Rattus norvegicus: one gene and its partner. The protein of the gene in region 2 purifies or fractionates together with the protein of the main gene of each other region. This does not show direct contact. Links are inferred from orthologs where the notes say so. Each region holds a gene or a part of one and is shown on either strand. Other genes may lie near its edges.

Region 1 (14,842 bases), on a different chromosome or scaffold from region 2:
GACGCTGATAAGCAGGCACCGGAGAAGTGGAAGACTGAGTCCTCACACTCTGCCACAGAGGCCTAGAGTTGTTCATCGCGGTTGCCCGTGTGGTTCCTGTCAGCTCCTAGAGACGTACCCCCAGGGGAAGGAGAGATGTGAGTGGGGGTTGCTTGTGGCACTGGCTCATGAGAGCTTCCCTTTTATCCTGCATCTGCCTGTCCCTGCCGTCCCTGCCCTCAGCCCTGCAGGGTCCACAGTGGGCAGGTAGACATGAGGAATCTGTACCAGGGAGCCTGGGATAGGCATGAGGGCTGTGCCACTGCCCGCACCCTGCCCGGCCCCAGCAGACACTAGGAGGCCGCTGAGAAGGGCACAGAGGTGGAGGAGAGCTCTGCGGATTTGACGATGGTGATGACACTGGTGGTGGCCACCTTGGTGGGTGTGACAGGCCCTCGGGCCACGGTGCGTGCGAAGGTCTGCAGGGCCTCGTACTTGGAGCGCAGGGCATCCAGCTCCAGACGCATGCTGCTGTTCTCACGAGCCAGCTTCTCTACCTCCTGCTGCAGCTCCACCCGCTGCCGCTCCAGCTCCTCCTTCTGTGTCACGCGCTTGATGCGACAGCTGGCGGCGTAGCCTCGGTTCTTGAGTGTGCGCCGCCGCTGCTTCAGCCGAGTTACCTCCTCCTTGGTGAGCCCCCGCAGGTGCTGGTTCAGCTCCCGCACCGACATGGACACCAGCTCATCGTCGCTAAGAACAGGGGCGTTCTCGCCCGCCTCCTTCTTGACCTAAGGAGCCACATGAGAAGCGGTCAGAACAGAGGCGCACAGGGTTCATGGAACTGGCACACAATCACCAAAGGCTAAAGTCTGGTCCAACAAAGGCCCGGCAGTGCCTGTCACCCTTCCTTGTTCCCATTCTACCATGGTGGCAGCATGGGACTCCAAGATTATGCCCATGGCAGGATGTGTACAGACAGCCCTGCTCCTGTTGCTATGACACCTCTTTGAACGGGGAGGACCTGACAGCCATTCCCTCAGGAAGGTCTTGGTCAACTTTGTAAAGCTTTCTAGAGACACATGGAACTGGGACCTTGCCCCTCAGATGCTCTGACCAAGCGCTCTCAGGTGAGGGACAGGGTGACCCTGTGGCCTGTCTTTCCCTGACATCCACCCACTGAAGCAAAGTCTGCATCTGGCTGGTCAGGGCTCACTCAAGGGACCCAGCACACAGTCCTCGGGAGCCTCTGAGGCAAGGAAGCACTCAGTAGCACTTCTGGTGACAGTGACATCACACAGTAAGGACCTGGGCTGGTAGAAGGGACACCACTATGCTCACCTGGCATGGGGGGCGGGGGGGCCAAGTTTGGCAGAGGAAGCGTCTGGATGCAGCCCTAGGTAGCTAGTATCTATTTCACATCTGCCTTATCACCCTCCTACCTGTGAGCAGCCTCCCGGGGTGACAAGGCCAGGCTCTTATGGGCCACTCTACCACCTCTCTCCTTCCCCGATCTTTCTCCAATTCCTGAGGACAAAGCTGACCTCATTTTCTAGGGCAGTGCTGTGAAAGGGGGGCTTTGCCAAGGCAGGATGAGTTGTCCCTGTGCCATGCAGGGCAGTGCCAGTCACAGCCCATGCTGGCCCTGCTCGCCGTACCTTCAATGTCTTGTTGGGCTTGGGATTAGTCGTCATAACCCGGGCCCTGTCACCAGGACGGAACCACCAGGAAATCGTAGCTGGAAAGACACAGAAATGGTAGGTTAGGTCTTGGCAGGCTAGGGTAATAGCACTGGAAATGGGGTAGGCCTGCCCTTAAGCCTTTTACAAAGTTCTCACCCCTTTAATATAGTACCTCACGTTCTTGTGACCCCCAACCATGAAATTATTTCCATTGCTACTTTATATCTGTAATTTTGCTATTGTTATAAACCATAATGTAAGTATCCGTGGGGTTTGATGGTCTTAAGTGACCACTCCCCCATGAGAGGGTTGTTTGATGCCCTCGAGGGGTCTCGACCCACAGGTTGAAAACCATTGCCCTAAGTGCTCTGGAGCAGGCGCTCAGTTTGCCTCTGTCTGACAGGGGGGATGAGATCCAACCCCGCCTCGTGCTTCAGCATCAGTCCCTAGAGCAGACAGACCCCCTAGGTCCCTGGTTCCCCCATCCAGCGCACTCTAAGACCGACAGCCCTGTGGAATAACTGCTATTCACGACCCATTGTTGCTTTCTGCTCTAGGCGCCCCCCTGAACGCAGACAAGACATTTACACCCCGGGATACCAGGTGCTGCATGCATCTCAAGACCAAAGGGATTGTCAGCCGCAGAGCTGGCTCCATAAGCAGCAGTACTGCACTCTGAAGGAGGGCCTTGGGACAGTGTCTGCTCCTTAGCAAGAGCTCCTGCTGTCCCAGGCTCAGCCTGGCTCACTAGGCAGAGAACAAGGCTATTTCCCGAAATTTCATTTACCCCCTCAGCCCCCCAAGACAGATGGGGTACATAATATCTGCCACTCCCCAGCCCCACCCTCCTATAGCCCAAGGGACACCTACCAGCGTGAAGGACACTGCAGCTGTGACATCACCACTCCTCCCAGGCCATCCCAGCCCTTCAGAGTGACCCCAAGGTCCCTATGGGTAGGGTGGGGGGCTACTGGTGGGTAGTAGGTTCAGAGGATCCAGCCAGAGACACCAGCAGAGAACTCCAGCCACCTGGCAGACTTACCGGGCTGTCTGGCAGGCCCTGTCCCCATGGCCAACCCGCCAGCCCCCTTGCCCGCCCTTCTCATTCTCCAGTCTGCATTGTGTCACACACCCTCATCATTCATGAAAAAGCCAGCCAAAGCATCCCAAGCATGATTCCCCTCTGATAGTTGCCATGACGACTCTGGGATGTAGCCAACCCCCCACAGTTGCCATGGCAACAGAGAAGCCCAAAAGCATTTGGGACTTGTGGGTCAAGCCTGTGCAGAAAGACAACACGAGGTTCTCAGGCAGTAAACAAAACCACTCAATTCCCTGACAAATTGAGGAAGGAGTAAGAGGGGCAGGGACAGCTCTTGGTGGGATACACCCCTACCTCTTGTATTTCAAACCCTGACAAAGATGGGCACAGAACAGGGAACATTAGGGAAATCACACAAAAGAAGAATGTGGAGAACAGGTATGAAAAAGACAGTGGATGACCTCCACTGTACCTTCCCCCACAAATGTGGGGGACCTGTAGGCTCCATCTCTCCACCCTGTGATTCACCTCTGATGGGATCCTGTCTCCACTGCCTACCACCCTTACTGCCAGGAAGCCACCATCGAGAGACAAGGTACTGACTCTGGTAATGAATGTAGTACCCTGGTGACAGTACGGGTCACACTCAGTAGGCAGTCAGCAGACCAGGACAGGGGCAGGGCCAGGAAGCTTAGGTAAAGCAGCATGGACCTGTCACAGTATCCCCTGGGACCTGAGATGGACAAGGGCTTGTCGGGGTGATCTACTGTTGATAAGAGATCACATGGGGATGTGGGCAAAGTAGTATCCACAGACCCCTTCCAGCCCCAGCTAGGGAACAGCGGCACCAGAGAAGTCATGGGCTTCCTTAGCTCCATTAGGAGCTCTCAGAAGCCAGGCGCCTAGGAGCCCTGAGAAAGTTTTCCGTGTAAGGAGGGAGGAGGGGTTGGGCATCTCTTCCAACTTGCAACCCCAGCGTCAGTGACATAGCTATGTGGTGAGTCACGGGCTGTTTACAGAGCCGGCTCACATTCCCACACAAGGACACCCCTCCCACCCGCATGCTCACGGGCCCCAGGGGCCACTGCCAGCGGAAAAGGAAGGTGCCGGGGAAGAAGGGGGACTCAACTCAGACCCAAGGGTGCTGAGACGTGCAGGCCAGCGCTTAGTGACGGGCGGGAATCTCCCCACCCCCATAGTGATGGTACCGTGACACCGGGTGGCCAGGATGTGCACAGGGCAGGGGCTTACGCCCCCAGGTGACCCCATGAGAGTCAACTGACCACTGGATGGAGGCCACCTGGCCAGCAGGAAGGGCCCCTCCCTGGCTCTCTCCATGTCCACCCTCTTTATGGGCTTCTGCTGCATTCAGGGACCCTTCCTCAGTCCTCAGCTGGCTTAAAAATAAGTAAACCCCAAGAGCCATGGACAAATGACAACACCTCCCAATGCTCGGGGTCATTTCCTCAGAAAAAGAGGGTGAGCGAAAAGATCCCAGAGACGACAAGTAGTGAGAAGCCCCCACTCAGGAGTCCTGACTTATACTGAGCTAATGTGTTTACCCCAGCCCACCCTGTCCAGTTCCTGGAACTCTGTTCAGCAGGAGCACCTGTACCCCTTGTCAAACTAACTCTGACTGCAGCCTTCGTGACTAACATTGTAGAAGTCTGTCCAGGTGAAAGGTGAGGTCCACGTTGGCCCTGAGTCAGACAGAGGCATGCCCTTCTGCCTGGTGGCAATCATGGGGGGACGATCTAAGGGACAGAGATTTTCAGCAACTCAGTGTGTCCCTTATACACCAAGCCAATGGGTACAGTCCCACCCTACCCATCAAAGGCCAAACCAGGTCTGTCATCCTAGAACTTGGGAAGTTTACAAGTTCAAGGCCAGCCTGGGCTACAGAGTGTGTTCAAAGTCAACCTGGACAACTTAGGAAGATCCCCCTCCTCTGCCCAGCTCCTTCCATTTCAGGATGGACTGGGGTAGAAGACGCCCTGTGCATAACGAGCAGGGAGGCACACCACAGAGCGTGGGAATCCAGCCTGGCGCCCAGAGACAGCAGGTAGCCCAGGCCCTAGCAGACTGTCTTTCTCCGGAGGGGAGGGGGGCCAGGCATGCATCTCCTATCCTACTTTCACTCCGGAAGCAGTTCCCCAGCACCACACTGCATTGACTGCACTACTGGGGGCATTTACAGCCTCACCTCCCTCCTGCACAACATCCTGGCAGTCCCAGCACACAGCAAAGAGGACCATGGCCAGGTCCAAAGGAGAAACAGATAGGGAACTACAGAGACCTTGCTACTAGTGCAACAGTGGACCAGAAAAAGTCTCAGAGGGTCTCCATGTTCCCCGGGGTAGTGCGTAACCTGGGTCACACACCTCACTCTGCTGCAACTGTGATACCAACCCAGGGGTTCCGCAGAGTAACAGCAACTGCAGCCCCCAATCCAGCTGACCAGGATGTGTGCTCTTCAGGTTCCTGGTCTCCCAGAATGGGGGAAGGGAGCAGGGTGGGTGATGAGGAGAGGGAAAGACCTATTCTGTCCAAAAAAACAGGTTCAAGCCCCAGATAGCTGAGAGCCACAGAACCTAAAGCCACTAAGGATGTGGCCACCTCTGCTCAAGAGCTTCTCACAAATACCCAGAGCCAAGTACCCTTTCCAGGACCCTGAGGGTACATGGAGCTAACACATTACCGACATACAGTGGCCACATGCTGATGAAACACACACCACAGCTGGTCCAATGAGCTCCTGCCACTGCAGACCACTAAGATTTCAGTTTGCTGTCCTCCCACAGAGCGTGGCTGGGCATCTCCACCCAGCTCTGGCTGGCTGGCTGCCCTCCCATAAGCCACAACTGTCTGCCTAGCCTAGAGGACGTCTGGTCACCTTGCATTTGCAATCTCAGGAAGCTGTGTCATCCCAGTTACATGCAGAGGTGACTCAAGCAGCTTCGAGGCTGACAGCAGGCTGCATGGCACACCTCCCTTAACTGTGGCTGCCCTCCTTCTGCCTCTAACCTGACCTCCTCTCCCTGACTGACTGAGTGGCCTCTCTGATACCCGGTCCGTGTTAGGGCTCTGTGCCATCCCTGGTGGTCCTGGGGCTTCAGTCACCTTCTACTCCATGTTTCAGTGGGGATGTGCCCAGGAAACAGCTAAGTCCAGACTGTGTGTGTGTGTGTGTGTGTACTTGCCAAAGTGGGTGTGAAGGTCAGAGGATAATTTTTGGGAGTCAGTTCTCTCCTTCCACGATGTGGGCCTTGGGGATTTGAACTCAGGTCATCAGGCTTGATGGCAAGCACCTCACTGTGTATACCTCACTATTTTAAAAACAGGGTCTCTCAGGGGCCCAGAATCTAACTAATCACAAAGGTTACGCTAGCTGACCAGAGAGTCTCGGTGATGCTCCTGCCTCTACCTCCCCGACACTGGGATAACAGAATATGCCACCACATCTAACATCTTTATGTGAGCTCAAGCAAACATTTTATTGACTGAGTTATCTCTCCAGACCTGTTTGTTTAAGATGGGGCCTCATACAGCCCAAGCTAGCCTGGGACTGACCTTCTCTTGCCTCAGCCTCCCAAGTGCTGGAATTGTAGAACCAGCTTTGACCTACCGAGCCCCAAGCATGGTCCAGCTTCTTTCTGGACCCTAGCCTTGGTGTACCAGATCCCCAGTTCTGATATTGGTGCCTCGAACATTGTCCTACAGCTAAATCTACGACTTGGGGTTCCCTTCTGAGCTTCCTACCTGGGTTTCCTTCCTACTCTGGCTGATGAGTGTTCCTGGCTGTGGTAGACAAGGGGTCTCCACTCTATCTTCAATTTCCACTTCTTCCAGAAAGCCCTCCTAATTGCTGTCTTTGGGGAGTCAGCATTTTCCCTGGATCTAGACCTGGTTCTAGAACTTTCTTTCAGCAGCTTCCATGCACAATGAGCTCCTGCCAAGCAGACTGCTTGTGTTGCTGATGCTAGCTCTCCTTCAGGGTATCAAGGCTCTACGAAAGGTCTGCAATATAGACAGAGGCAGGGACTCTGGAAAGGAAGCCTAGTAAAGGGTGTGTGTTCTCCGCCTACCATACCACATGGCCCCAAGGAAGAGCAGGAAGCCTCTAACCCTGACCTCTGACCTCAGGCGAGGCCATCAAGCAAGCGAAGCTGTACCCTCCTGAACACCAGACAGTGTAGTGTTTGATCACCGGGGCTCAGGTCTACCTCCATCAAACTCTATGGGTCGTCAGATAACACTTTCAGTTTCCAGAAACTGCAGGAAAGAGGAAACACAAACGCATGTGTGACTTATAAAAAGCAAAAGTAAATATGAGTGACCAGGCATCTTCCCGGAGCAGGGGACAGGGAGGGTGGGGCGGGAGAATGAGTCACTGTTTATAGCTCCAGAGATCGGCTACACAGAGAATTCTCCCAGCTGGCCTGATTTCCACTTCCCGTGTGGACTAGACCCGAGATACAGAAAGTCCACTCCAAGAAACCTTTAGACTCAGAACAGTGGGGCAGAAACAGACACAACTTCTCAGTCTAGACTGCAAGAAAGAGTTACCAGAGACCGTAAACAAACCCTGGGCTGCTAAAGCAAGGGACTAAAAACTGAGGGTCTCCAGGAGAGAATGGCCAGAAAAGACTCACCAGAAGCCTTGAGAGTGCTAGAGAAAGGGCAGACTCCCGGGAAAACATGGCTTCCCAGGACCCTCCGTCCGACTCCCATTTTAACAACTATCTGGAAAGTACACAGCCCTGAACTTGGAACAGAGCCCTGAAAGCCCAGCTCAGTTCGAGAACAAGAGGAGAATGGACTCCAGCAAAGCCTGGCTCTGTTTTTTGCTCTAATAAATCAAGAAGTTTAGTTTAAAGTTATCACATTAGTCTTATTTCCTTTACCAAGGTCAGACACCACATTTCTCTGGTTGATTTATCTAAGGATCGAAGAAGGTTTTATCCTCAGTGAGGGTTGTCCCTGACATGGGCTGCAGATATATCCTGCCTATCTACAGCTTTCCTGACTCCATCCACATGCTTAAATTCATACCTTTTTGTTTTTGCTTTTTTGTGACAGTGTCTCCCTATGTAACTGAGGCTGGTCTTGAACTAGCTAAGCAGTTCAGGCTAACCTCAAACTCAAGATCTTCCTGCCTCAAACTCTCAAGGGCTAGGATTACAAGCATGTATAACATAATGGCTTTAGATCAACACCTTTGAAAGAAGTTACCTGGCCCTAAGACACCAGACTTGGAAAATACCAGCTCAAAGCATCGAAGTGCCCACGTGCACTCCACCAGATACCTTCTGGAATGTGGCTGCCACCGTAATGGACCTCAGCAATGCCAGCCCCTGAGGTCCCAAGGGCTAATTTTAATAATTCCACAGAAAGGGAAGTCCTGAACTACCTACCAGTTGTGACACAAGCCAGCTTTTTGGGACTGGATGCACCTGGCAAGAGAAACGTGAGTGCCTGTCCATCGATTGGAGGGAGAACTGTTAAAGTGCATCTGTGATAGCAGTAAGAGCTGTGTGAAAAGCGAGGCTCAGCGTAAAAGCATCAAGCTGCCTGGCCTCCCAAATACCGACTGTTTGTGAACAGGGTAAGCTCTGGGAGGCTACAGTGGCTGCCATCTCCATGAGTAAGGATGCCAGAAGAGGAGTCTCTCTCCCGCAAAGAGATCTAGGCACTTAGGACCCACCAGGCTTTCTTCACCTGTAATTTGCTAGAGTTTGCTTCTGATTTCTCGCCGCACACTCTTAACACGCACACTCTTAATACAACTAAACGCTCACCCTACAAGGGAAATCTCTCACTTCAGAGTTGGATGAGACCTTAGCCCCAGACCACACCTGAAGAAAGTGACGGAAGCGATAGGCTGGCCAAGACGGTCACCTGCCTCGCTCCCCACCCACAGCTTCCACATCCGGCACCGCTGGCCGGTCAGCTGATTAGAAAGTGACACCAGTTACTCAGGCCCTTTCAGGGTCGCGGCCGGGAAAGAGGGGGGAATCCTACGCCGACGGAAATGGCCAGGTGCGCACGGCTCCCGGGTGCCGCTCTCCCGCACGTGGTGGGTCCCGCGTGGGCCCTAAGCCAGGTCCTGCGTGGCACGTGCTCGAGGCCCAGGCTGGGTCCCGCGGCCTTCAGGGTGCTCCTCCCGCAGGTGCGCGAACTCGGGGTCCCCTTATCCAGTACCCGAAGCACCTCACTCACCCGGGTCGCGCGCGGGGCCGGGCGCGGCGGCTCCTGTAGACACGCACTCTTCACGCGCGCTTCTGCTCTCGCGCTCCCCTCAGTCGCCGTCTCCGCCTGCGCGCTTCGGACTACTCGTTCCGACTCGGCAAAGAACAACAAGTCCCGGCCACCCGCCGCCCGCCGCCGGCTCCCCAGTACTGACACCGCTTCCGGGATCGCGCGTCGAAGCGCGTCACCGTCCCGCCCCCGCGATGGTCACGCCCCTAGTGATCACGCCCCTGTTGCTCACGCCTCTTCGCTCACCAAAACCACGCCCTCTCTGGCCGCCCGTCGTTACCACGCCCCCGTATGACCACTCCCCTTGCTGCCCCAGTCCCTGGCTCCTCCTAGATCCTTCCACGTGCAGTTGTCTCATTGCTGAGCCCCTGGCCCTGTCCATCTCCAGCACACCCGGGGCGGGGTCTATGCTACTTTACCAAGGTAGGGGATGACAGGCGAGCGTGACGCACACTGGGTGTGCATCCCAAATTTTCCTGAACTTTCAGCCTGAGCACTATGTATGTCTCTATGCCTAAGCCACCCACTGCCATCTGCGCTAACCACTGTGATCCTGAGGTCGCAGCTGCTGGACCCTCCCCGGGTCTTGGCAGAGGGAATGGAGGCCAAGTGGCTATTGACCATGTTCTGGATGTAACACCAAGTTCACATCAAGATGGCGAAGTGAGCCGGTCACTGGGAAGTGGGTCAGTTACATCACATAATCAGCAGGGCAGGTACCTAGCATCCTCTTCTGACCCATACCATGACCTTTTGATTTCTCAGTCTGAGACAGAGGTAGGATCTCACAATGCAGCTTAGAGTAAGTAGCCTGGAACACTTTAATTTTTTTTAAATTATTTATGTGTGTTCATATGTATGTGGGTTGGTGTGCACATGGCTACCGCGAATGTGTGGAAGTCAGAGGGCAACTTTAGGGAGTTGGTTTTTTTCTTTCCATTTTTGGGTTTCGAAGATTGACTCAGGTCGTCACGTTTGGCGTCTTTGCCCACTGAGCCACCTCCCTGGCGCTGGCTTGGAGCTCTTGATCCTTCTGCCTTTTCCTCCTAAGTGCTGGGGTTCTAAGCATGCAACACCATGCCTGCCCTGGCATATCTCTCTCTCTCTCTCTCTCTCTCTCTCTCTCTCTCTCTCTCTCTCTCTCTCTCTGTAAACAATGGATGTTTTTAGTTAGGATTTTACTGCTGTGAGCAGACACTGTGATCAAGGCAACTCTTATAAGGACAACATGTAATTGGGACAGGCTTACAGGTTCAGAGGTTCAGTCTATTGTCATCAAGGTGGGAGCAGGCACGGTGCAGGAGGAGCTGAGAGTTCTACATCTTCATCTGAAGGCCACCAGAAGACTGACTCCCAGTAGGTAAGGATGGGGGTTTTAAAGCCCACACCCACAGTAACATACCTACTCCAATGAGTCCACCAAGTAGTGCCTCCAAATAGTGCCACTCCCTGGGCCGAGCATATTCCAGCCACAACACACAGACAGAAAACCATTTCTCTCCGATGTGGGAGTGCGTGGACACATGGTTGTTCTCTATAGGTTTTGGTGGGGGACAAGAGAAAACAGAACTTCCTGTACTCCAGCTCAGTGCAGCAGTCTGATTCCTAGACTTGCCTAGGAGTCCCAAGACGTCCTTACATGGGAGTCATCCCCCTCTCCCCGACTCAGAAGGACAGAGCTGCAGAATGTGGGTCCTGCTACCCTTGGAGGGGAGGCAATTTAACATTCTTTCAGACCTAAGTGATGCTCAGGTCTGAGAACCGGGTGAGCGGGAAGCATCCCTATGGCTCTCAAACCCAGACACTGTGCCTTCCCAGGACTTTTTAGAGTGAATCCATGAGGCACTCTGGAAATACGTTGGAGAGCAACAGGCACAAGTACCCGGAAACCCGTGGTTTTCTGTGGGGTCAGTTCCGTGCTCAGTGTGCTGCAGGCACTGTGACCTCTCGCAAAGGGCCTCAAATCCGTTCTTGCTCCTAAATGTTCTTCTGGTGTTTGCCACTAAAGGGAGCCGTCCAGGTCTGTCAGTGTCAACTACGACCTGCCAAAAGCAGCTCAACCGGCTCAGAAACAACATCGGTGACAAGGACAATGATGCCCACGTGACCAGAACATTTCCAGAGCTATCCTCAAAGATCTGAAGGACATCTTCCTGCATCCTCACACACCTCCCGCCATCCATGCAAGAGTTCCATGGATGAGTTCCAACCGGACCTCTCCAAGGAACTGGACTTCTCTGAGGGACTGAACCTCTCCAAGGGACTGGACCTCTCCGAGGGACTGTCCCAGGGGTAGGGGTTGGTGGCACTTATCTGACTCTGTAAGACTACTCCCATAGAGTTTTCGTTAGGATATCTTACTCTCCTTAGTTCCCTCAAGCAAGAGATTAAAAAAACAAAAGCCAGGTGTGGTGGCTCAAACCTTTCATCCCAGTATTGGGCAGGGGGTGGGGGACAGAGGAGAATCTCTGTGAGTTCATGGCTAACGTGGTCTACATAGCAAACTCCAGGACAGCTCAGACTACATATAAAGATCCTGTTTCAAAATTAAAAATCCAGAAAAATAGAGGCATGGCAAGAACAAGGACTTGAGTTTGACTCCAGAACCCAGATTAAAAGGTGGGGTGCTGGGGAGATGGCTCAATGGTTAAGAGCATTTGCCATTCTCTCTTTTTACAAAGGACTTGGGTTCAGTTCCCGGGGCTCACAGGGCAGCTCTTAAACTCTGTAACTCCAGTTCCAAGGGATCCTACACCCTTTACTGGTTTTCAAGGGCACCGGGCACACATGGTACACAGACATATATGAAGGCTAAACATCGTACACATAAAAAAAAAAAATAACAGATGTGGTGGGTGTGCATGTGTTATCCCTGCACTGGAGAGGTGAGACAGGAGGGTCCTCAGGGTGAGGCAAGCCGGTGAGAGACCCTGTGACAAAAAACAAGGTGGGTGGCACCTAAGAAACAACAACTGAGCTTTCCCTGTGGCCTCAACATACCCAAGCACGTGCACACACACAAAGCCACAGACGGCACTGATGGCGCACACCTGTAATACCAATACCTGAGAGGCTGAGGCGGGGGTTCATGAGTTTAACAACCTGAGCTATCTATTAAGACATTGGAATGCGAGAGTCCCCCTGTCTACACCTCCTGAATCTCAGGGTCATGGCCGGGTGGCTTACCCGACCCAGTTCACACGGGTTCAGTTGTGGTTGTGGAGACCTGCGGTGGTGGCTTGGCTTGCCCAGACAAACGCTCCCTTTATAATGGCTTTTATGGAAGAGGCGATGTTGGTTACACCCTGAAAATCTGTCCCTTACTGCCCTGGGAGGGGTCCTATCGCTAGGCGTAGAGCCAGACACACCCTTCATCCCAGCTGTTTTGGGCTGGTCCTCGGGCAATCTATGTTCATAGGGAGGCTGGGCATCTGGGGAGGATTAAGTGCCCTCCCACACTCCTTTGTCCAGAGCGCAGGTAGGAACTCAGATGGCTCTGGTAAAGCCAGATAAATGGAGGCAACTTGAAGCTAGCAACGTAGTTCATTCAGCAGTAAGGCTACAGACAGGAGTGGTTTAGTACAAGCCCAGTGGGTACCCCTAAAGACCCTTTTCCCAGGGCCTCGGAACCCTGAAAATGCAGACTGGATCTTTGATGAGGCCAGATTCGACGGTGTTGTATGGTGTCCCTGTAGATATGGAAACACGAGCCTCCCAGAGCTGATGGGGCATCATTGGCTGCCGGGGCGTGTGAGTTAGTGTCGTGTAGACGGAAGTTCCTACCAGTGCAAGAGCTGCCTGCTGCTTGAATATGGATGAGTGTTTAGCTAGCACTGCCTCTCACCTTCACAGGGGAGAATCAATGAATGGACACAGGCTGCTCACTTGTCCAGCTACAACTATGTCCTCGGGGATGTTTCTCTGAGTCCAGTTCCCTCCCAAAAGAGTAGGGGTAGTGAGGTCCTATCCCCCGCACTCTAAAGGGGATGCAGGGAGAGCTACGGGGAATCCATGCTAGCTTCTGGGGTAAAGACATTCACTGGCTTTGGCTACTGGACAGAGGCGTCTTCGGCTGTCGAGAAGAGAAAAGGAGCGAGGCAGGCCTGAAGGGGGTGGGTAGAGTTTAGGTTTCAAAAGCTCCTAATGCCTTGTCCAGCTTCATGGCTTTGGGCACATGGTCACTATAACCTTGCCCATGACCTCCACTTTAAGATGACAATCCCTTCAGTTTAAGGGGCCAGTAGAGGACAGGTGCTCCCAGAGTGGGGAGGTAGTTCAGCTGGTAAAGTCCCTGCCCAGCTCACACCAGGCCCTGGGTTCCATCACTAGTCCCAAACATGTGTGGGAAGTCCACGTCTGTCATCCCAGCACTAAACGGAGGAAGGAGGATCATAAGTACAAGGTCATCTTTGCCTACCTAGTGAGTGTGTGGCCAGCCTGGGCTACATTACAAAAATGCATCATAACCTGCCCGGAGTCCCATTGTGATCAGAACTGCATCAGTGTCCCTCAAATAATCAAGTTACAAGTTGAGGCAATTCTAGCCAGTCCTAGGGAGTGGCTGGAGAGACGGATAGCCCCGTGGATAAAGTGTGTGTGGCACACGCCTGAAGATCTGCGCTCGGATCCCCAGCACTCACAGGAAAAGCCAGGTGCAGCAGCGTGTGCCAGCAATCCCTGAGCCTGGAGACGGAGACAGGACTCCTGGGGCTCACCAGTCAGTCTAGCTGAACCAATGACCTTCAGGTTCAGTGAGAGACTCTGTCCCAGAAAATAAGGTGGATGGCCTCTGAGGAATGATGAACGATGGGTGTGTTTGACTTCTGGCCTTCACGCACATGCACACGTCTGAGTCAGCACTCATACAAACACACACACACACACACACACACTCCTAAGATGATGAATGCGTCACCTGTCACTGTGCTTACAGCCACAGTGTCCTCTCTCTGCAAAGCAGGCCAGGGCCTTTTTCTCCTCTTGCTGATGACAGAATGGGGATATCCAGGACTCTGAGGCAAGGCCTGTGCATAGGACAATCCCTGCTTAAAGCCATGACCCCAGGTAATAGCCATGACTAGTCACTAAGACATCACTGACACAATCACCTTATTTAACATTTGGTCTGTCTTTTTTGTGTTTGTTTGATTTAACAGTTTATTATGTGTGATATGTTGTATGTATGTGTATGTGTATCCATGTATGTGTGTGTTATTACACATGTGTACATGTATGTTAGGGGTGTATGTTTATATATGCATGTGTAATGCGGTGTATATATGTGTATGTATGTGTATATATATGTGTATATATGCATGTGCATGTGTGTCACTACATGTGTGTATCTATACATTGTGGTGTATGTGTATGTGTATATGTGTGTATGGTGTGATGTGTATACGTACGTGTATGTGTGTATGTGTTATATGCATGTGTGTCACTACATGTATGTATGTATATATGTGTATGTGTATATGTGTGTATGGTGTGATGTGTATACGTATGTGTATGTGTGTATGTGTTATATGCATGTGTGTCACTACATGTATGTATGTATATATGTGTATGTGTATACGTGTATGTGGTGTAAATATGTGTATGTCTGCATATGCATGTATCTGTCACTACATGTGTGTGTATGTATTGGTATATGGGTGGGTGATATGTTGTGTATATATATGTATATGCATGGTGTGTGTGTGTGTGTGCATGTGTTGCTACCCATGTGTGGAGTTCAGAAGACAAGTTTCAGGACTCAGTTCTCTCTACCATGTGGGTCCTGAGGATTGAACTCAGGTCATTGGGTTTGGTGGCAAGGGCCTTTATCCTCTGAGATACCACCAGCCCTTGGTTTGTTTTTGTGCCCCCAAACCCCTGAAGCCCA
Region 2 (16,290 bases):
CTTCTAGAGACAGTGAGTTGTAGGAGAGCCAGTGAAGACCAGGGAGATGAAAGGGTAAAGTCCGACCTTTTAGTTTTGACTGGGAGTATATGGATGTTTTACCTGTTTGTATGTCTGTGCATCATATGCATGCAGTGCCTGAGGTCTGAAGAGTGACTCGGATTCTTTGGGCTTGTAGTTACAGATGGCTGGGCTACCATATGGATGTGGGACTAGAACCAGGGTCCTTAGAAAGAGCGGCTAGCTAGTGCTTTAAACCACTGAGCATTCTCTCCAGCTCAACCTTTTAAAATATATAATCCATCCCGGGTCCTCAAGGCACATTCTCTATTCCTCATATAAGTGTGTAAAGTCATTATGATTCATCTCCATTTTTTTAGATTAAAGATTCCAAAAAGATTAAGTAATGTCCTCCATGTCTAAAGGTCCCCGAAGGGGAAATGTTAATTGATCCAGACCCAGACTAAGCTACCTACGGATCCCTCAGGAAGCCATGCGCTGTCCTCTGTGATAATTAAAAGCCCTGAAAAAGCGATGATTTATTTGTATACATCCCTGCTCAACCAGCTTGTGACTGCTTTAAGGATAAGGTTTATGCACTCTTAATAATGGATGCACGCATGTTGCCTAGTGTTGGTTGACTAACATGCTTATATATAGCTACTGTGCTGACAAGTTTCACGTCAATTTGACACACGCTGGAGTCAAATTGAAAGAGGAGACCTCGGTTGAGAAAGATCCCTTCACCAGATTGGTCTGCGGGCGAGCCTGTGGCATATTTTCTTGATTAATGATTGATGTGGGAGGGCCCAGCTTTCTGTGGGCTGTGCCAGCCCTGGGCTTGGTGGTTCTGAGTGCTATAGGGAAGCAGGCTGAGCAAGTCACGAGAAGGGAGCCAGGAAGCAGCACTCTTTTACTTCTGCATGAACTGCTGCCTCCAGGTTCCTGCCTTGAGTTCCTGTGAAAATGGACTGTGGTGTGGAAGTGTGAGCAAAATGAACCCTCTCCCTCTCAGTTTTCTTTGGTCGTGGTGTTTGATCAAAACAGTAGAAATCCTAAGGCACTGACGACAATACCTTACCCACCACTTCCAGTTCCATATTCTTTTTCCATTGTCCTATCAGGGTTAGCAGGCTGATTAGGAGACCTCCTTTATAGCATTTTCACTGTATGGTGTGGATAAAAAATAAAGACAGAGTTGAAGTGCAAACAGAGTACATCCAGTGACTCCCAGCACTGGTGTCAGGAGGATTCCAGCCACTGCTTTGGACAAAGCTCATTGCTTTAGAGAGGGATGTGCCTTTGGGTGGTAAGAGTCAAAAGTAGCCATGAACAAGTAGCCAGGAACAAGTAATGCATCTTCCTGGCAGACTAGGCTGGGCCATGGTAGTTTTGTATCAGGATCTTCAGAGTCTGAGGTGCATGAGGAGAGGAGGTGAGATGCTATTGAGGAAATTGAAGGGAAGGATGCTTGCTCACAGAAATGTGTGGCTTTCCTTCTCTCTCTAGGACTTGATTGTATCATGCTTAGTTACAAGGAAGGCAAAGGGGCTCACTTGGTGGAGGTTATAGGGGCTCACCCCTGCTCAGGACACCAGCTGCTGTTAAAAAAAGCTCAAATAGAACCTTGTTTTATGCATCCTTTCTGATGGGTAGGTTTTTTTGGGTAAGATATTCTAAAGGAATTTTAAAGGACTTTATTTCAGGGGCTGGAGAGATGGCTCAGAAGTTAAGAGCACTGACTGCTCTTCCAGAGGTCCTGAGTTCAAATCCCAGCAACCACATGGTGGCTCACAACCATATGTAATGGGATCTGCTGGCCTCTTCTGGTGTATCTGAAGACAGCGACAGTGCACTCATATAAATAAATAAAAATCTTAAAACCCCAAAACCTTATTTCCAAATGCAATAAGAATTGGCACAGGATCCGATGGAGGGGGAGGAGATTCTCATTATGTCTAGAATCAGATATGAATTACATGAATTAAATGAGAAGCACATTCGAGGCATAGAAGGAACACCAGCTGCATGCCAGAGGCATGACAAAGCTTGGGAAATTCTGCAGGGTGGAACAATCAGGAAGGTTTATTCTGCCACAGAAGCCAATGGCCAAGGGTGGAGATGAACATGGCTGCCAACTCTCCCTGATCTTTAGGTAGGCAGTTGGTCAATTTCTCAAATTTAAGATGATCTGACCATGGTTGATTTAGTAGTTTACAGTATATAAGGAAGCCATCCTTAACTCATTAAGGGCCTAGGATATCCTCTGAGGAAGAGTTCTGGAGCCTTTTGGTTTTCCCATGTGGGAGATGGGACAATACTTGCTGAACCTAGGATTACATAGGTATCGGGTTACATTCATTACTCTTGGTAGATCACACCTGCCCTCTACTGGTAGTTTCTCTCCTTGCAGCATGAGCTCAGTGTTATTCACAGACATCTGGTCTACCCACGATGTGGCGGGTGTACATTTCCCCTTCCATAAAACCTGAAGACACTAGCCACAGGTTTGGTGTTATACTTTGATTTTCTTTCACGTCAGTTGTTGATGACAGCTTGACTATGTTCCTGGTCTTCACCCTGTATGTTCCTGAGACCCTGCTTTAGCCTCAGGAGTAATTGGACATGGGTAGGGGCCACTACACCTGGCCTTATGTATTTATTCATTTATCTATTTTGTCACCTCTTCTTTATGTTGTTGTAGATCCATCTACAGTTGTAAAACAAAGTTCTTTACCCGTGGCAACATTCTTTATCCATTGCATAGCTACAGGGGAATATGGAAACTGGAAGTGGTTCTAATGTTCAATATCTAATCTCAAGTGCAATGGGGACTTTAAAGATTTAGATTAAAAACAGCATGGTTAAATTCTTAAGATTCCTAATCTAATTAACTGGGATGCAGGGGAGGGTCCAAAGTAGAGGATGAGAAATGACCTTTGGCAGAGGAAACATTTCTTGAGGCTGTCTATTCTGCAGAATGTAACACAGGGATTAGAAGCTTTGACAATGTAGAATGATATGTCTTTATTTCGTTAACAGAAATGGCGTCTAGACAAAAATTCAATTAACACTAGCAATTCAGTTGAGAGGGTTTTTTTTTTTTTTTGCACAATAGTGTATTTACAACGAGTAAATGAAGTCTCAATTCATTAATCCATAGCAATGCTTTTTCCCAAAAAGGTAAAAATTCTTAGTTACAGAGAATAAGCATCAACAGCCATCTCAATATCTTTACAAGAAAAAACCACAAGAAAAAACCACAAGAAAAACCACAATCACTTAGGAAAAAAAATAAGGCCAAGCGTAAGAACTTGTACAATAAAATGATGCATTGAATTAAGTTACATTAATCGCATAGAATCTGTGTAAAAAGTATGTAGAAAAAACACCTGATGTAACCTGTTACAGTCGTTGACCAGTTATGAGAGGTACGGAGGGTTATACAGGTAGATATGTGTGAAAACTGTCCGTATTGTTTGAGCTGGGGAGGAGGAGAAGAGGGGCCGCAGCCCCTTGCATACACTGAGAAGACCCTGTTTTGCATATGGCCTCTGGAGTTTGTAAGGCATATATTAGAGGTGCACTTGCATCAGACTGGTTCTGGAACAAATTCTCACAGGCCCTCTTGCCTTGAATGGCTCACCGTGTCTAATGAGTCCCCGAAGCTCCCAAATGCATCTGCAATCTTCCTGATAATTCGTTACAAGTGCCAGGCTCTCGTGTCAGAGTGTGAATGGGCATCCCAGCGTTGCCACAGCCAAAAGACATTGTTAGGACCCAAGTGGAGGCCAACTCTTTGTCCCCAGAGACGTGTTTGGTAGAAGTTTAGCACCCATCTTTAGGAAAACCCATTTTTTTTTTTTGTCCAAGTCCCTTCACTCTTTCCTGATATAGGTGTCTGGTCATTCCCATGGGAGCGTTTGGCACTGAGTGTGAGTCTACCTGAAATGAGTGGTCTTGATACACTTCCACGAATAGCCATTGTTTTATCTGAGGTCAATAAACCGGAATGAAAATGACAGCCAAGAGTTTATCCATTGCTTGATAGAGAAACGCATACACCATGCCACAACATCAAACCAAAGCTATAAAAGTTGGGCCTCTGCAACCAAGTGGGATACTGTTCACGAAATGGCAGCATCATTTCATATTACAATTAAAATGCACTAATAATTCACTTGTTATAAATATGATCTCCCAGGGTGGAGTGTAGGAAAAATACTATACAATTACTTTGCAAGTAATGTTTCTGCACCATCATTTGAATAATTTACCTTTGATCTGCTACGAGGAGTCTCTTCAATGTACAAGTACTATTTGCACACGCTATTTATGCACAAATATATCCTATGCTACAGCATCAGTCTTTGACACTCGGGTCGTGAGATGGCTCCGGTAGTATTATACATTTTGAACACAAAATATCTCCATGCACAGACTTCCTTTATGAATACCAACCCCACGAGGCATTGTGGACTGACTTGCCAGAAATGGGATCTGCAACAAAATCCTCAAGTAGATACTAAGAATACAACACAGAGCTTGATTCTTTTAAAATAATTCATTTTCTTTCTTTAGTCTGGTGTGTGTGTGTGTGTGTGTGTGTGTGTGTGTGTGTGTGTGTGTAAGGGGGAGGGAAAGGGGAATGGGGAGAGAGAAAGGGGAATGGGGAGAAAGGAAGGGGAATGGGGAGGGGGGAAGGATAGACGTAGAGAGAGATCTGAGGGTAAACCTTGACTCTTGCTCTCTTCTAGATCTGAGATTTCCCCCACACTGTAAGCACTAGTGGAGTCGTTTGAAGTCATCAATAACAGCTCCTGGTTTAAACAGGGCCGAGGTGTATAGGAATATGCAATCCAATAGACTCCAAGGAGCTTTACAGATCGACTCATTTTGGAGGACTATGTGTTCCACGGGACGCAGAGCAGTCCCCCAGGGCAAGACTGGGCGATTTGTGAAAGGTTTATACTTTCAAACCATTGTCTGCTTTGTCCTTTTCCTCTTCAGTGGCCATCATAAAGTATTAAAACAAGAGAAAAGTGTAGGCTTTAGTCAGTCCTCCAGGCAGGTCCTCTGGTGGCTCTGTAGCTCCTTCAAGGAGAAGAGGCAGTTAGCACACTAGTTACTAGCCGTTTTTTAAACTTCCTTGGAAAAGCAGTGCAAGGATTATATCCAAAATTATAGTGCATGTTAAAAAGCAGCATACCTTGAGAAAGACAGTAAATAAATTACTCGTATGACATTAAAAATAACGCTTTCTACTGCAGCATCAGCCCTGATGCCTGAGTCATTGTTAGGGAACCTGGAAGGGAAGTAGCAGGATGACCTAGTAGCTTTGCCAACTTTAGAAAAGTTTTTTGAAAATGCTTTGTTCCAGAATCAGTAAGTCACGAAGTTTGACTTTCTCCAAGGCACCCCCAGATAACGCAGAGACACAAACACACACGGCAAAGCACACACCTGCCTACAGCCTGGGTAACCTGAAGGAGGCTATTCAGAGACCAGGAGGACAGAGGCTGCTCCAGGGGGAGGCCTGTGTTTGGGTGCTAGCCCTGGACCATGACCCATTCACACCCCAGCCTCTGGGAGACCCAACCAAGCAGTCATGTCAGTCCTATGATTGGAGTATCCTGTATCTTTGAAAGAAAAGATCTTCAAACACACAACTAAATGTCCCCTTAAAACTCAAACACTCTCCTCTGTTCTCTTTCGTTCTCTTTTCCATAGGGGGAATGAGGTTGACTGAGGGATCCCAGGAAGGACAGATTGGGGATTTCCGAATTCCACTTGAAGAACTTATATTCTGGACCCCAGTGAGTCCTCCCTTTGAATCAACTCAGAAATAATTTTGATGAGCAATTGTTTGGAACAGTAAGAGACACAGACACGTCCCATGAGTAATTACCCAAAGCCAGTTGCTGTTCCTGGTGGATACTGAATGAAATTACCTGTTAAAAATACCACAGAAATAATAAGTTTTTTTTTAAAGAGTAATTTGAAATCATGGCACAGATTGGGGGTGGGGGGCAGAAGAGGCAAAGAAAATGAGGAAGATGAGGGCTGAGTTGAGGCAGAGAGAAATGAGGAGACCGGACTCCCCTCCCATGGAAAATGTTTGCCACAGGTCTGAGCTACTGGCAACAGAGACTTAGGGGGTAAACTGTGGAATGTGGCAAGACTTCCAGCCACCCAGGAGCTGGAACAGCATAAAACAAGCAGAGAGGCTCCTCTGGGCTATCGGTGGCCTGAGCAGAAAACAAGCCTTTTTGTTTCTTTAGAAGAGGTCACTTAAAAAGGCAATGAGAGAGTTTAAAAAAAAAAATACTGTTTGCTGACGCTTGCACCGTAATAGGCAGCTGTGAGCATCACATGATTCCCATGGAGCTAAATGCCGGCTTTGCCAGCTTTTCATGAAGACACACCTGGTGCAGGGAACCAGGAAGTACCAATGGTGTAACAAAGATGGAGCTCCAACACAGCTGTATCAAAATCTATACACACACACACACACACACACACACACACACACACACACACACACACACTCAAAACCCAGAGGCAGGTTTTAAAAAATGGACCTATTTTAAAAGAAATAAGTTTCCCCTTAAATTCTACTGCATGGATCAACAACTTCTGGCATTTGTACATACTTAAACATTTAGCACTACTATAAGTACAGAAAGAAGTTAATAATACTAGAACATATGTCACTAGGGTTTCACTTTTGCCTACAAGTCATACATTACTTTCCCCTTTTACATGCAGCTTTAATATTGTCCAAAACAATGGCACAGATGAAGAAACAAAGTCAACCATCCATCTAGTTCCCATTACCCTCTACCCTATCCCAATATCAGACTTTTCTGGACAACCTTGCACAGCTGGAGTGGTCTCCGGGCTGCTGAGCAAAAGGAGATAGAGACCATTTGGGAGAAGGGAGCTGACTCCTCCTTGGAGCATGCCTTTCTGTAAACACGGTTTGGACCAGGATACCCTAGGACCAAGGAAGCTGCTCTCCAGATTTGTAACCAACCGGTTTTTAGCAAAGGAAGCAGGTTATTACCTGGGGAGGGGGAAATGAAGGGTGAGGGGCGGAGGGCTTGGGAAAAGGGGGCAGAGGGCTCCTAAGGGTGTCTGTCCAATGACTTGGATGCAGCAGCTTTCAGACAAGAGACTTGGGGAGGGGGGCAGAGCAAAACCTCCGAGAGGGCATTTGAAGAATGAAAGGAAGAAAGAAGGCATTAGCCTATGTTCTTGTGGATCTCAGGCTCCATTCTGCCATGCTATTTCCTACTCCAGGGGTGGGGGTGGGGGTTGGGGGGTGCTACTGAAAGCCAAGGCTGTCATTCAAATCCCCTCAGGTCTTAAAATGTGGGAAAGCCAAACCTGGGCAGGAAAGCCGGGTGGTGGGTTAGCTGTGCCCTTCAAAGAAGCAGGTCCTATCACATGACGTTTCTGAGCAAAAGTATAAGCAGAGGCCGGAAAGAAATGCTGAAATGAGAGGGATCCCCCTCCCCCTGCAAGGAACTGGTTCTCCACTGCTTTCTCTTCACCAGTGCCTGTGGGGTTCTAACAACACCACAGGCTCCTGTCCTTTTGACATGCAGTCCTTCGAGCCGTGCGATCTCTTTCCCCTCATAGGAACGGGACATCCAGTGTCAGCTCTGAATTATCTGCACTTCCGCTTCCCTTGCAGGGGAGGTGGGGGAGGAAGTGAGCTACAAAAATATTCAAGCAGATTATTGTCTACACATCCTAGGATGGGTTCATTATTTGGCAAGATTGTTTTTTTTTTCCTACATAATTATCACCTGAGTGCTTTTTAATTAGCTAAAATGTTTTTTTTTACCTCTTTAACTGAAAGCAAAGAATATACAATATACTTGAGTTATACCGAAGTTACAACTTCATTTAAGAAAATAGGTTTGACTCAAAACTCAGTGCAAGTGGCGAAGTTGACCATTGCTGTGCAGTATCTGCAAGGACGAGGGGGAAACACGAGGAGGAAAGGACAGACCCACGATGCTCACCCAATGCCATTCGGGGGCGCCGAAACCAAACCAACGAAAGTGAAAGGTCTGAGACTGAACCTTGAGAAGAAACTTCCGATGCTGAATTTGGTCTGTAAATAAGTACAGATTAGAAACCGAATTGTGCAGCAAGAAAAGCAACCATGTTAACAGCTACAAAACCAGTTCTGGCATCAGACACAGAAAGAGGAATGTTGGGACATGTTTGTAAATGATAAGTGAAGTTTCCAGTTTCAGGAAATTGAGAAAATCGAGGCATGCAGGACTTTTGCATATGGATATATATTTCATATATATTATATATACTATGTACACAGTATAGCTATAAAACTTTGATGTGTATAGAAGCTGTCTTCAATGAAAAAAATTGAACATTCAGAAGAAATTCCTGAGATAGGGTTTGTGACATGGGCCACTGAGAAAAAAAATCCGTGGTTGGGTCCTAGAGGTGTAGTCTAATCCCTGTGAAGTTTGCAATTAACCCACAGACAGACAGTGTCGGCACTGTTGTCTACCTTGCCAGGGCAAGGGGTAGCACCATTAGGAAGGTAACTAGCACTCCTGCTTACAAGAGAGGAGGGAATACTTCGGAACAGTATTGCTGCTAAGACTGCTGTAGTGTGCACCAAATTCGTCGTTCTCGGTTCTTCAAGACACAGATGAACAGTGCCCCTGGCTGGCAGAGGCACTCTCAGATGAGAGAGGTGTGAAGACCGGGGGTCGGGGGGCAGAGCTGATCGCGGCTAGGCATAATCTTTCCTGGGCTGTTCGTCTGTTGTACACTTCTCAGTCATTTCCTGACAGAAGTCCACCGTCACTGACTGGCTCCTGGCTTCCAGAGGAGGTCCTCTTTCAGAGAAGGTTCCAGGGTCACTGCCTTCCAACCTCCTCCCAGACGTACAATTCTCAGAGGTGTTGCTGGGCACCCAGGGGAGCCCAGGGGGAGCTGCCCCTGGCTCCAGGCAGCAGGGTACACTTCCTCCTACTGCACACTGGGAGGGCGCAAGGCTCTGCTCAACCCCCAAGGGAGGGGGGTTAACACTGGCTCCAGGAAGGTCCATGGGTATGAGAACAGGGCAGTACCGGTGCAGGGCCTGGATCTGCTCTGGACTCTGGATGTCTCGACAGACCTCCTGTGAGAGGCAGGAGAAGTTGTCCAGTAGCTCCCCCATGCACACTTTCAATTGATTCCTCTCGGACAACAGCTTCTCTTTCTCGCACACCTGTGAGAGAGAATGACACACCTTCGTGAAACCTGCACAAAAGCCTCATTTCCAAGGCTTTGTTTTGAGACCTTACACGGTAACCTAACTCCGGAAAGAGTAGGCCAGAACCTTTAGGAAGTTAAAAGACACACTGTGAAGGGAGTGCTCGCCTTACCACTTGTCACACAGCTTCCCCAGTGTGGCATCCCTTCCTCTGAGCCCCAGGAAGCAATCGGTTGAGGTACCCCCAATGGCAAAGCTGTAGGGAGTCAAATGACATTCTGCTTTCTGAGTTTGGGGTTTTCAGGGAACTGACTGGAAACGTTTTGTTTCAAACCCGATAGCTGAAAATCTTCCCCTAATACATTAGGTTACTTCTTTTTCTTTTCTTTGGTGGTGGTGGTGGTGGTGGTGGTGGTGGTGGTGGTGTGTCTGTGTGTGAGATGTTTCTCTGCACTGTATAGTCCTGGATGTCCTGGAACTTACTCTGTAGACCAGGCTGGCCTTGACCTCAGAGATCCTTCCCCCAAAACTTCCCAACCCTGGTTACTATATTTGAGGGGTGAAAGTCGAGTAACTGATATTTTGAAAAAGACAAAAAAAGAAAAATAAAAAGTCAGCGCTGCCAGGGGTTGAGGGAAGGGGAGATGGCTAAGCCATTACAGTAGGCTTTAGGGCAGTGAATCTGCCCTGTACACAGTGGCACTGACAGCACCCTTTGAAACTCCATATAGTACTCACTAAAGAGTGTGAGCTCTGAGGTAAAGCAGTGGTGTTGGATGAAACGAAATGGCAGCATACGCCTGTCCATAATAATACATGTACTACTGCTCTTGTCTGGAGTCACCAGAGTCTGGGACTGCTGGGTCTGCCATGGCCTTGGTGGGGACAGATTGGCACTGTCCCTGCCCCTGGGACAGGGCCAGTGGTCGTGGGCCTCTAAGAATGCCCATGGCTGCCGTGGGCATAAGGCTTGTCTGTAGAATAATGTACATATTTTACGTTCCTCTTTCAAGGCATGTCCTCCCTGTTAACGTTAATGACTCCATGATAATCTGAGATAGCATGTGTCCGGGAGGCAAAGGTATGGCTAATTAATGTCTCAGAAAAACAGTGAACGATGGGACCTTCAAGACAGCCCTTAAGGCTATGGAAAAGAACTCTAAAGACTCAGAGCTCAGAAATATATAATTTCTCAACTATGCAAAAATTAGGGATACAATATGAATTATACGAAGGCTTCATGGATCTAAAGGAACAAAGGCAGCTGCATCAATGAGCCAGCTTGTCAGAAAGTCATAAAGACAGGCAGATGCAAAGGCAGGCATATTCCTGAGTTCAGGTCAGCCTGGGATACAGTGAGTCCAGGCCCAGGTATGGTAGAAATAGTAATTTCAGGATGGGGTCCCACCCAGCTTGCTTTTCATCTGTGCTTAGCAGAGGCAGGCAGATCTGCTGCCTTTTCAACATTAAAAGAAAATGCATGCTCACTGTCTCCTAAGAATTAATCACCTAGGGTCAATGGATGCTGATTCTTAGGATAATCAAAAAGGAAACCTAGAGTAAATGACTGGATTGATATGAAATAAAAGACTGGGCTTATGATCTGCAAGAAATGAACTGTCCAGAGAATTTTTTAGACTAGCAAGAGAGAACTGCTTGGAGAAATGTCTCAAGCAGAATATAATAGAGCTGTCTGGAGATCTCGAGAGAAGGCAGATCAGAGAGAAAGAAAGCAGGACAGAGAGAAAGCAGGCTGGAAAGCTGTCTCGAGCAGAGCATAGGCCACCAGCTTTGACCCACAATTTGACTTCTTTTGAGTTGTTTTGTTTTCAAAGCTCCCAGACACCCCTTCTCTCAGAACCCCTCTCCAAGCCCAGGCTGGTCCTTGGCTTGGGACATCTGGGAACTCTAGGTACTTCATTTAATTTTGCTAGAAATTTAAAATGACTATAAAGAAGAGAGTCCTTTCACAAACAAATGAACAAACAAAAACAAAAACCAACCAAGTAATCAAGACTGTTTATCAGCAACTTCATACAATTAGACCTAACCATCACACTCTCCAGCTTTTCCAGCACAACCGACTGGACAGAACATATCCTTTGATGGACCCTGGTAACCGTGCACTGAATCCGGAGCAGGGGTCATCCCTGGGCACTGGATGGAGAGGCTAGGGACAGAAAGGTGGGTCCTATGCTTTTGCACAGTAGCCCACTGTTCTAAGATGTTCTTCCCATTAAGAATAATCCCACACAAAGAGCTGAGTTTAGTCTGAGAGAGGAGAGTAATTAAAGTTTTACTCTCAATGCTTGTATGAGGAGGTGTGGTGAGGCTTCGTGAGGCTCACAGATAAAGCAGCCAAAGAAACTGGGTGTCTAATGCAGTGGGGAGGGTGGTAGCCAGCCCTCTGCAAGTCTTGCAGGCAAGCCCAGGCAAGGATGGGGGTAAAAACTGAAGAGGAGGGAGAGGAGCAGGTCTCTGACACAGGAGCTGTGCACGGCCTAACGTGGGCACAATCTGGCAGGCAGCGTGGGTATGTGTGTTAGAGAGAGATTTACATGCGGAAAGGACACCTGCTAAAATATTTATAAATTTAGCTAGAAAACATGTTTTAAAAATGAAAAATAAACAGATGTACGAGTGCAGCTTGAGAGAAATACATTATGTGCATCTGCAAATGAGGGTGGCGAGCCTGCGGGAGACATCGCAGAAGGGATGCTGGGAACTATGCAGCAGCAGACCAGGCTGGCTGGCTCTGACCACTCAAGCCATCCCCTCCTCTGAGACACAAGCAAACGGGCCCAGCAACCTGCCCCTCTCTCCACTCAACCTGGACATCTAAAAGTGAGGGCCAGTGCGTCCTAGGAAAGCAATCTCCTGTCTCTGTGCCACAAGTCCTTGTCTAGGCACTAACCCCACTCATCTCAAAAGTGCTCCTGTATACTTTGTAGCGGAAGGAAACACGTTGCCACAAATGACGTGCTTCTAGCTTCTCTTAGAAAAGGAAGGATGTATTGTTGATGTTGTCTTGGTTAAGAACATGGAACTCTGGTAGCACACACCCATAACTCCAGCGCCTGGGAGGCAGGGGCAAGAGGGCTTCATTTAAGGCCGACCTGGTCTACAGAGGAAGATATTTTGATAATAAACCAAAGCCAAAGACGCCTGACTGCAAATCTCTTAAGATGAACGTAATGAAGAGGTGAAGCTCTAGTTCAGCACTGAGGTGCAGTGTGTTGCCTTTTTAAAAAACTTGATACAAGCTAGAGTAATAGCTTCCATCAGACTGGCTTGTAGACAAGTCTGATTAATGATTAATGTGGGAGGGCCCAGACCACTGTGTGTGGTGCCACCTCTGGGTTGGTGGCCCCGGGGTGTATAGGGAAGGCTGAGCAAGCCACAGAGAACAAGCCAATAAGAAGAGTTCTTGCATAACCTTGGCATCGGTTTGTGCCTCTGGTTCCCGCCCTGACTTCCTTTCATGATGGGCACTTTTGGTCACTGCGTTAGAAAGCAAAACAAACCGTACAGCGTATTATTTAAGGCTTGGAAGATGCCGATGGAGAATAAACAGCGTTGTCCTGCTTCTTCAGAGGAACGAATCAGTAAAGTGTTTTAGGCATTCGCCTGGCAAAGAGCAGTGTGCTCAGGTTTTTGCTGTTTGCTCAGAATCCTGCAATTACATGGACCAGCATGCTAGTTATCAAAACCAGGCGACTGGGTAGCGAGTTAGTTTAGAAGAACACTTGATTTGTATATGCATGCAGTAGACACGCTTTATTGTGATATACAAATGGAAAAACAAAGAGGAGCCAATTCCACACAACACCCGAGAGATCTGAGTACCTCTACGTACATTTCAGATGCATATTTATGACCCCGGTTGAGAATAAGCCTAAGTTTTCCTGAAGGGTGGTTGTCCCTCTGTTTCTCCAGCTGTAACTGATGTAACTTCACATCGGTCTCGGTCACTCGAGGTTGCTGAATACCTGCCCGCCAACTCACCAGTTTTCGTATCTCGCATTCCAGGTTCTGAATGCAGTCCAGTTTCCTCTTCCGACAGCGCTGAGCCGCAATGCGGTTCTTACTACGCCTCCGGATGTCGTGAATGAACTCCAACTGTTCTGAGGTTAGCTTGTGCATTTTAATCATCATCTGGAAGTCGTTCCTGGGAAGGTCTGTGATCTGATCGACAGGAAAAGGAAGTTTAACCTGAAACCGAGAACAGCGGAGCGGGATTATAGCAGCTGGAGCGAAATTTTGGAGTGAAACATCACCAAAACTGTAAAGCCTCTTTAAAAAAATTATTTTATTTTATTTTTTAAATTTATTTCTTATATTTATATATACTGTGTACAGTGTAGCTGTCTTCAGACACACCAGAAGAGGGCATCAGATCTCATTACAGATGGTTGTGAGCCACCATGTGGTTGCTGGGATTTGAACTCAGGACCTCTGGAAGAGCAGTCAGTGCTCTTAACCCGTGAGCCATCTTTCCAGCCTTCCAAACCTCTTTTTTTAAGATGAGCAAATCATAGGGGAACTACAGAAAACAAGTCGTGATTAATACTCTTGTTTCAAATACAAGTAAGATGAAATATTCGTGTAATCAAACAGTACTAACACGCACAAGTAAGCCAGCCTGGTGGTGTATAACTTTAATACTACTACTCTGGAGAGAAGGACTGCCATGACATCTGAGGATAGCATTGGTTACATAGTAAGCAGGAAGACCTTGCCTCAATACACACACACACACACACACACACACACACACACACACACACACACTGCACAAAACGCACAAAGCAGCTCATGCAGATTGTGATGTTGTCATTCCCGAGTTTTTTTTCTTTTTTAAAGCAAATGGCATTGAAAATATCGGAAACTGTTAGTTCTTTCAATGTTGTAAAACTTTTGTGAGGAAGACTATGGCTTATTGAAGCCCTCTTCTATAAGACGCACAACTGGAATTCAACAGAATGGCCAAAGTGACCTTCTGAGGACTGATGTAAAGACCTGGAGGACTGGGGCCAGCACGTCTTTGAAACTCTGGAAAGATGCACCAGTCAGAGAAGAGTCGTTTTTTACTCACACAGAACACAAGCGTAGGAGGAGTCAGAGCTGGGCTTTAGTTCTCACACAGCAGAGTTCGGGGAGGTGGCATTGCCCCTCTGCACCCCAGTTTCCTTGTGCAAAACAAGGTATAAAAGCTTCTTAGGTCAGTGTGATGCTAGGCACTTAGCCAGAATTACGTTTTCTATCGCGGTATAATTCCGTTCTTCCTGTCAGGTTGTACACTCCTTCCTTCTAATAAACACACCTCGGCGGAACACACCTCAGTGGATGGCGTCGTGTGTTCTTGAGGCTAAGCCGTGAAGGACACTGAGACTTCTATTTCGTCCTGTCTCACTGGCTGCTCGGGAGGGCAAACCTGCTCTAGCTCACAGCAGTGGCCTGTGGATGGAAGCGTACTCACTGCTTTTTAGATTCGTTTGTTTATTTCGAACTCCATTCTCTCCTCTAGTTAGACGGGCCCTGGGAACCAGACTCGGGATACACACTTAGTCTGGCACCGTTGACCCGATGAACCACCTCGCCAGCCCAGAAGTGAATTCTTGAAGCTAGAGAGACCTGCAGAGGACGGTAGCCCCAGCCAACACCTGACTTCAGCCAGAAATGCTCACAGGGGCCAGCTCAGTTCCTGACACACAGGAAGTGTGAGAGCTGTCCAATGACCACTGCTCTTGTAAGCCACTGAGGTTTAGGCACAATTCCTGCTTTTAAGTCCTTGACAAGTCAAGGTAAATATTTTTAAAAGAGAGGACAGACGGCAGGGGCTGGAGAGATGGCTTGCTAGTTTATACCTGCTGTTCTTCCAGAGGACCCAGGATTGATTTCTAGGGCACGCACGCACCCCACCCCCACTCCACAGCTCACAATCATCTGTGGCTTCAGTATCAGGGGATCCAATACCCTCTTCTGGCCTCTGTTGGCACCAGACAGACAAACACACAGATGCACAACCATACACATACAGATAAATAAATAAATAGATCTCCACAACAGTAAAGAGAGGATGGCACGGCTTTGGCTTTGGGGGTGTCTTCTCTGTTGTTTGATTTTGGAATGTATTATTTCCTAAGAACAGCGCCTACGGAGAGCTGACACAGGCAGTGGCACTTGTCTATAAACACAGAAGTGGAGGCATGAAAATTAGCGATTCAAGGTCATCCTTAGCTACACACTGATAGAGTTTGAGGCCAGCCTGGGCTACAGAAGACCCTAATTTTTTTAAAAAAATCAAACAATGAGTTTGTGCCTGATGCAAACTCAGGCTTTCTATCTCTAGGGTCTCATCAGTCTCCATGGGGCTTGAGGCTCAGGTCTGTGACGTTGAACAGCTTCTCTCTGCCCTTGCTAAGGCAGTGCTGATGGTGTGGGGACCTCTGCAGTTAGATTTGTTTCTGCAACTCCTGCAAAGGTACAACCTCAGCAATCTTAGCCCTTGGGAGGAGGTGGAGGCAGCAGGCATAAGGCTACCCTCAGAGGCCTGTGGAGTTAGAAGCCAGCCCAGGTCATTACACCCAGCTCACATTACTTTTTTCTCACATTCAATTTTTTGTCTTGGCCAGCAGATGGCGCTGTAAGTCTAAATGTCATGTGCCCCGCTAATCTTTAATACTAACATCAGCCCTGTAGACTAAATTTGCAAGTGTGTGTCAGGTGTGGTGTGTTACACCTTTAATCCCAGCACTTGAGGGGCAGAGGCGGGTGGATCTCTAAGAGTTTGAGCCTCGCCAAAGCTAAATACTGAGAGCTTGATTCAAGAAAACTCAAACCAGGGGTTGGGGATTTAGCTCAGTGGTAGAGCGCTTGCCTAGGAAGTGCAAGGCCCTGGGTTCAGTCCCCAGCTCCGAAAAAAAGAACCAAAAAAAAAAAAAAAAAAAAAAAAGTCAAAACAATCCAGGTGAGTTTAATTTTAGGAACCTGTCGTTTATCCCAACATAAAAAAATCTTTCTTGGGGTTGGGGATTTGGCTCAGTGGT

Evidence for each region.
Region 1: the proteins of Bach2 (region 2) and Mafk purify together in Homo sapiens (co-immunoprecipitation; 3 studies listed by BioGRID and IntAct, with this or other methods). This does not show direct contact. The link is inferred for Rattus norvegicus from reciprocal best matches to the Homo sapiens genes BACH2 and MAFK.

The regions. Positions count from the first base shown.
Region 1 is NC_086030.1:19,950,126-19,964,967, forward strand, and holds the start of Mafk (transcription factor MafK), read right to left. Parts: upstream 9,068-14,842; 5' UTR 8,920-9,067; intron 7,162-8,919; exon of another isoform or gene 2,529-7,161; intron 1,715-2,528; 5' UTR 1,671-1,714; coding exon 1,635-1,670; intron 768-1,634; coding exon 333-767; 3' UTR 1-332. UniProt on the Homo sapiens protein: Since they lack a putative transactivation domain, the small Mafs behave as transcriptional repressors when they dimerize among themselves.
Region 2 is NC_086023.1:51,765,743-51,782,032, reverse strand, and holds the end of Bach2 (transcription regulator protein BACH2), read right to left. Parts: intron 13,454-16,290; coding exon 13,247-13,453; intron 9,257-13,246; coding exon 8,777-9,256; 3' UTR 7,789-8,776; downstream 1-7,788. UniProt on the Homo sapiens protein: Transcriptional regulator that acts as a repressor or activator. Binds to Maf recognition elements (MARE). Plays an important role in coordinating transcription activation and repression by MAFK.